Arabidopsis thaliana: one gene and its partner. The protein of the gene in region 2 interacts with the protein of the main gene of each other region in a pairwise test. Each region holds a gene or a part of one and is shown on either strand. Other genes may lie near its edges.

Evidence for each region. Proteins that work in one complex are often made in the same cells at the same time.
Region 1: the proteins of ATPC1 (region 2) and AT5G44520 interact in a two-hybrid assay, tested with the Arabidopsis thaliana proteins (one large-scale study listed by BioGRID).

The regions. Positions count from the first base shown.
Region 1 is NC_003076.8:17,934,934-17,938,692, reverse strand, and holds the start of AT5G44520 (NagB/RpiA/CoA transferase-like superfamily protein), read left to right. Parts: upstream 1-2,138; 5' UTR 2,139-2,161; coding exon 2,162-2,392; intron 2,393-2,529; coding exon 2,530-2,657; intron 2,658-2,954; coding exon 2,955-3,024; intron 3,025-3,107; coding exon 3,108-3,215; intron 3,216-3,301; coding exon 3,302-3,397; intron 3,398-3,481; coding exon 3,482-3,538; intron 3,539-3,637; coding exon 3,638-3,755; intron 3,756-3,759. Other genes in the region: AT5G44530 (Subtilase family protein), read right to left, coding at 1-212, 301-460, 551-762.
Region 2 is NC_003075.7:2,350,368-2,354,126, reverse strand, and holds ATPC1 (ATPase, F1 complex, gamma subunit protein), read left to right. Parts: upstream 1-2,108; 5' UTR 2,109-2,244; coding exon 2,245-3,366; 3' UTR 3,367-3,629; downstream 3,630-3,759. Other genes in the region: AT4G04650 (RNA-directed DNA polymerase (reverse transcriptase)-related family protein), read left to right, coding at 15-138. UniProt on the Arabidopsis thaliana protein: Produces ATP from ADP in the presence of a proton gradient across the membrane. The gamma chain is believed to be important in regulating ATPase activity and the flow of protons through the CF(0) complex.

The DNA.
Region 1 (3,759 bases), on a different chromosome or scaffold from region 2:
GAGTCATTGTCATTGAAACTAGGATGATTCGGATCGATCCCAGTATCGATAAAACCGATTATAACTCCTTCTCCAGCAATCTCAAATCCACCTTCTTTGACCCATGCTCCTTGTGGTAAACCCATAAACTGTGGAGTATAAGTTGTTGCTGTCCTAACAGAGTAATCCAACACTATGTTTGCTACTTCTTTTCTCATTGAAAGCTTCTCAGCCTTAAAAAAAGAAAAACCATAACACAAAAAAATCAAGATCAAGAACTCAAGATTATTTCTACAATTATCAATAACTCAAGATTTTTACCTGTTGTGAGTTAATAAACAGAGCAAATCCATTGATAAGATAATGGTAACTATAAAGCTTTATATACTTCTCTCCTTTTAGAGTCTTTCTCAAGAAAGAGTCATGAGATTGAACAACAGATGGTATCTTTGACTTCCCATGACGTTTCCTTGAATTGTTCCTATAATAAAAACGCAGAATACAAAAAGGGTTTAACTAAAGCTTCACAGAGAATCTAATGACAACAAAAAGAATAGAATTTTATCAGTACCTTGGTCGCAATTTTGGTGTAAACTTTGACTTTTTGTGTTTAAGCTCTTGTTCTTCAAAGAGATGGACAATAGGAGGTTGTTTAAGTGTGACAATGTACACAGCAGAATCATCATCATCGTCTTGTTGTTGTCCCAAAGTGTTATTAGACAAAAACACAAAAGAGATCATAAGTAATAAAAACCCAAACCTCACCAACATTACTCTAACCATTTTTTTCGTCTCCCTTCTAAATTAAGAAAGTGGGAAAAAAGGGTTTTTGATTTAACACTTTCCACTAGGTTTTATACAGAGAATGAATGAGTCATGAAAGCACTTAAAACCCCACCTAAAACAATGATAATTTAAGGAAAAGAAAGAAAGCTGCAAAAGAAGAAGAACCCATTAAATCATATTCATGGTGAACAAGTGGAATTGACACCTTTTTGGTGTAAGGAGGTCGGTGAAAGAAGAGTGCGTATTTATATAATATTGTATATATGTAATATAGAGATAGATAGATATTAGGAAGAACTGAATAATCTCACGAGAAAATATATGAAACTGTTTTTTATTGGATATTGAAAAATTGTGAGCCAAATTGAGTGGTTACGAAGAATTTGGTTCCCACATGTGCTTAAAGTAGAGGAGAAAGGAAGCAAGGAACACTCATAAGTGCGATCAAACTTAAATGACTCTCCTTTTTGTTTTCTTTCAATTATTTATTTTTTTCCTCGTTGGATCGTCAATACTAATAAGATATCCAAAATGATACAAGATAGGGTTTTGATTCCCAAAAAGTGTAGATTCTTGCCAATTAGTGGATGTATACTTAATGAAAGGTTGTAGAATGTGGCACGTAGAGTTATTCGTTTTCATGGAGAACATGTTCATCTAGAGAATGTCGTATTTGTAGAACCGTTTGAGAAAAACATTTTCATCAAAATATATCGTATATGCATAACCGTCCATTGTGGATTTTAATGTTGCAGAGAACTGTATCGTAAAATTGATAGGTACTGTTTATCGTAATCATAAATGTGATATATAGTTTTAATACGTCACAAATGTGATATGTAGTGTCAGTCTACACCATTTGGCGAGAACAAAATGGTAGAAGACATGGGGAGAATTCTAATACGACAGACAGCTCGACTAATTCGTTGGATTGATAAGCAAACCTGAAACACTCTTTCCTTTATCAGACTTTAGGAGATAGGAGATATCATAGAGGACTCTAAATGTGGTTTGCCTCTAGAAGTTAAAAATTTATTTAATTTTTCAAATTTCAGTTTTTTCTCAAATTCAAATTTTGTCGTACTTGTTGTAAAAACCGATGTTTTTTTTCTAATATAATTTAACATTAGATTAAAAAAAAACGGATTAGCTCAAAGACCATAAAATAAAATTTAAGGATATAGTTAGAATTTAAAATTTAGGTTTAAAAATTCAAAAATAATATTTGGAACTTAGTAATTTATGTGTTGCTTTAAAATTATAAAATTATATGAAAATAAATATTTAATATATATTTTATCATTTTTTTTGGAACAAAATATATATAATTTAGCCTATTTTCGTAATTCTCCAAAAAGAAAATGGTCGTGTAATATCGTCGTAGTTCGTACTCCACATGCACCACAAAACTGATCGGGAGATAAGAGCGGTAAAAACCACCGAGTCACGACTCAGTGACTCAAATCGTTCTTCCCACACAAAAAAAATGGTTACTGCGACAGCATCAACTCCATTTTCACTCTCGTCGTCCGTGGTTTTCACGCGCCGTCGTAATTTCAAACGTTTTCCAGTTTGCGCCAGTCTTTCTCCGGAGGTTTCTCCTCTTCTCAGAGCAGCTCATCACACTGTAAGGGTTAAATCGGGAAAATTGAATCCTTGAAACTCAATTTCAAATGGGTATTGTTTGAAATTGTGTTGAAAATTCATAAAATTGAAGAAAGATTGATACTTGATTACAAAACTTTTGTCTGGTAATGTTTTCAGGTGGATAATTATGTAAAGAGTGGGATGATTATTGGTTTAGGATCTGGAGAAGCTTCAGATTTTGCTATACGTTATTTGGGTCAACAACTTGGTTCTGGTTCTTTACATAATGTTGTTGGTGTACCAATGTAAGTCTTTTGCTTCTCTCTCTGATGTTTATCTACTATGAATCCAATAAAAAATCAATCTTTTGTTTGTTCAGTTGTTGAATTTCCCTATTCATTAGTTCTTCGATAATGATTTTGTTGTTGGTGTACCAATGTGAGTCTTTTGATTCTGATTCTGCTGCTGGTTATCTTCTATGACTCCAAATAAAGTATCAATCTTTTTGTTTGTTCAGTTGTTGATCTCTCTATATTCAATCTTTTATGTTACGAGTTGAGTTTTGATAGGCTTCATGATGATTTGTCCTGACCCTTTTTCAGGTCTGCTCGAAGTGCGAGTGAAGCAGCAAAGTATGGAATCCCCTTGGAATATTACCGGGATGGTGTTCAGGTAGCTGCTTCTCTGTGTTTTCTAAAGCGGTTTGATCTATTTCTGCATCTAGGGGTAATGTTTGCAGTGTGACACTTTTGTAGATTGATTTTGCATTTCATGATGCTGATGCTGTAGAAGAGAATACGCTTATTGCAGTTATTGGACGGCGGAGAAGTTCACAGGAAGATGACTATATTCTGAAACAAAAGGTGTATGCAGTTTCGTGTACTTTTTGCAGTCTTTGAATACTCATTGCTTAGCTTTGGGCTGACAAAAGAGAGATTTTACAATACAGTCTATTGTAAAAGTAGCTGATGAGGCAGTCTTCATGATAAAGGAAGAACAATACAAAGCCGGTCTTGAAGGTTCTATCCCTGTTTTAGTTCAATCTGTAAGTAAATTTCTACTGATGAACTTCGTTTTAATCCCTTGGTGATATGATTCAAAACTTTTATTCCTTGAACTTTGATTGCAGCTTAATTGGTTGGCCATAGCTGAGGAGATAGATGACTTGTATCTAGGCGATGCAGAGGTGTGAATCTGCTTCTTTCATAAATGCTTTCTCGGGCTTTTGGTTCTATCGATTGTGTCAAGCCTTGTTTGAGTCATTGTATTTTACTTGGTGGAAAAGGTGTGGAGAAGAGCTTCTGTTGAAAATGAAGGCCCTCTTGGAGGAGACTTTCCTATAGTTACCAGTGATGGTCACAACATTCTTGATGTTATATTTACAACTCCGATTCGAAGCCTCGGTAA
Region 2 (3,759 bases):
GTTGGTAGCTATAGTGAACCAGAAATAACCGTCTATAAAGCACCCGAAATTGAAGTTAAATTGGATAACTTTAATGAAAAGACTGATATCTATAGTTTCGGGATTGTTTTTTTGAGTTTGGCGCTATTTTGGATCTGACATGGAGAGGGCTCGTACCTTACATAAATACCACCACCACCACCCCCCCCCCCCCTTTCAATAGCTATTGTTGTTTTAGATATATTGATACATCAATGTTTTGTTGTCTAAGTAAGGTATTTGCATTTTGGATTTCGATTCAGGACATTCTGGTTAGGCACGGTTTTGATTCATTTCATAATCGACTTGACACAAATTGCGTGGATGGTGCCGATTTTGTGACCTAAATACTAACATCAAATTTTGTGACCTAAAAGAAGTCTTATATATTTTGAAAGTTGCATTATCATCATTCCATTTCAAAGAAATAAAAAAGAAAGAAAATAAAATAATCAAACCCTTAAAAGAACTTACTCATTTCTTGCATATTACATATGAGTAGCAATTTGTATTGCCTTTCCACTAAGGATCTACCTCTTTTAGGCAACTGAAAATGTTGAATTTGATGGATCATAATCTTCATTGTACTTAGGGTGGTCAACTCATTTTAAAGTCAGTTCTGGTGTGATGTGTAATCTTTGTTTGGTTGGGCTTTTATAACTCGAGCAACGAGTTCATATTAATACGGTGCAGATTTTACATAGATTGTTACTATAACCCTAAATCCAATAAGGTGTATGACTCAACATGTTCAGCATCCTTAATGTTCTATTATTTGAAATGGTGGACGAGTATGCAATAATTGACGGAAAGAATAATGAGCTTTACTTCATGTAAGCATCAAAGATTCATAGGTCGATTTGATCCTTAAGAGATGAATAGAATGTCACTAGATTGTTGGTGATTAATAAAGATGATATTAGTTTGTACAAATCCATGAGAAACTGAGCGTACGTAATAATATGTTTGGTGATGAAAATAAAACAAAACAAATAAAACTAAGAACTTGTTTATAGCAAGAGGTTGGGAATTTTTGTGGTTTCTGTGTGATTTCGGTATGTTCTTGTAACAATAAGCATATTCCAAAATATGTATCCGGATGTAGTTGAAGATACAATAATATATAATTTTAACCAAAAAGAAAACTACAATTTTCATGATAAAATTAATATTTTATTGATTTTAATATATAAACATCTTATAATTAATTTAATGAATAAAATTTTATAAATTTTTATATCTATAATTTAGTTAATTCTTATTATATGTTTATTATTTCGTTCTAATTTCTAACCAAATATTAGTTTTTAATATTTGTTTTGATCTGTAGAATTATTTTATCGGAATTTTTGGAATAAATCGAAGCAATTAACAAATGAAACCATTGTTGTTAGTTGTTACACTATATGATTTTTTCGTTATAACCAAATATTTGTTTTTCTCTATAAAGTTTTGCTTATCAAAAAAATTTTGGAGAAAATTGAAGCAATTAACAAATTAAACCAGATTAAAAAATATATATATATACATATATATATATATCATTTTAAGTCTCTTGTAAGGTAATTTGATTGGTATATATATATACTAATGGACCAAAACCATACCAAAGAAATTAAACCAAACCTAATTACTCTAATTTCTATCCTTTGTCAGATATTTTCTCTCGTTGGGGTCAAAAACTCATAAAATAAAAAAGCAATTAACAAATCAAACCAGATTACAAATTATATATATATATATATATATATATATATATATATCATTTTAAGTCTATTGTAAGGTAATTTGATTGGTATATATATATACTAATGGACCAAAACCATACCAAAGAAATTAAACCAAACCTAATTACTCTAATTTCTATCCTTTGTCAGATATTTTCTCTCTTTGGGGTCAAAACTCATAAAATAAAAAAGCAATTATTGGTTGGCTGATAAACAATTACAAAGAAGTAAGATATATACCACACACCCCAAAAAAAAAAAACATTGAAGATATCGAACCATCCACTAATACAACGCCACGTCAACAAAAAGAGGATCCCACAATTTGCAGACTCCAAATAGCAAATGTAAAACCTTATCTCCAAACCTAATCTCATCACCTTCTCTTCCCTCCACTCAAATCTCTCCTCTCTTCTTTCTTCTTCTTCAATACAATACAATCAAAAGAACAGAGAGATAAGGTTAGAGCAAAACACTGTCTGAAACAAACAACAAAAAAATGGCTTGCTCTAATCTAACAACAATGTGGGTTTCATCAAAACCATCTCTTTCTGCTGATTCATCTTCCTTATCATTCCGATCTGTTCTCAAGTGCCCAACTAACACTTCCTCACCTCCTTCACGAGCTTCCTCTGTTTCACCACTCCAAGCGTCTCTTCGTGAGCTCAGAGACCGTATCGATTCAGTCAAAAACACTCAAAAGATCACCGAAGCTATGAAGCTTGTCGCTGCAGCTAAAGTCAGGAGAGCTCAAGAAGCTGTTGTCAATGGACGACCATTCTCAGAAACCCTAGTTGAAGTTCTTTACAACATCAACGAACAGCTTCAAACCGATGATGTCGATGTTCCCTTAACCAAAGTCAGACCGGTTAAGAAAGTAGCTCTCGTTGTCGTCACCGGTGATCGTGGATTATGTGGTGGATTCAACAATTTCATCATTAAGAAAGCAGAGGCAAGAATCAAAGAGCTTAAAGGTCTAGGTCTTGAATACACAGTCATTAGCGTGGGCAAGAAGGGAAATTCTTATTTCCTCCGTCGCCCGTACATCCCCGTCGACAAATACCTAGAAGCCGGAACTTTACCTACGGCTAAAGAAGCTCAAGCTGTGGCTGATGATGTCTTCTCTCTGTTTATAAGTGAAGAAGTCGACAAAGTCGAGCTCTTGTACACAAAGTTTGTCTCTTTGGTCAAATCAGAACCCGTGATCCACACGCTACTGCCTTTATCACCTAAAGGAGAGATCTGTGACATTAATGGAACCTGTGTGGATGCTGCGGAAGATGAGTTTTTCAGGTTAACGACAAAAGAAGGGAAATTGACAGTTGAAAGAGAGACTTTTAGGACACCAACAGCTGATTTCTCGCCGATCTTGCAATTCGAGCAAGACCCTGTTCAGATTCTTGATGCTTTGTTGCCTCTGTATCTTAACAGTCAGATTCTTAGGGCATTACAGGAGTCATTGGCTAGTGAGCTTGCAGCTAGAATGAGTGCAATGAGTAGTGCTTCGGATAATGCATCGGATCTCAAGAAATCGCTTTCGATGGTGTATAATAGAAAGCGTCAAGCTAAGATTACTGGAGAGATTCTTGAGATTGTTGCTGGAGCTAATGCACAGGTTTGATTTGTTTTGAACCCTCTTTGAATCTTCTATATGAGTCCAAAACTCTCTTCTTCTTCTTTTTTTTTCGTTATCGTTTGTATAATGTATAATTGATAATCTCTAGAACTCTTTATAATCATGCAATTACAAACAAAAACGCGGTTGTATCTATTTTGGCTTTTCATTGGATAAAATGATGGAGATCTTCGTTGAATATTTGTGGATGATGAAGAGTTTTTGTAGGATCCTTTGGAGGAATAAGATTTTGGTTTCTTTGGTTGTTAGTTGTGAATCCTTTTCCATTGTTGTTATGACTAAGGATCTTAGTTAGGGACAACATTGAATCCTTTTGTTCACCCCATCTTTCAAGATTTCATAAGACTTTTTTGAATACCTCTGACTGGATTTGGTAGT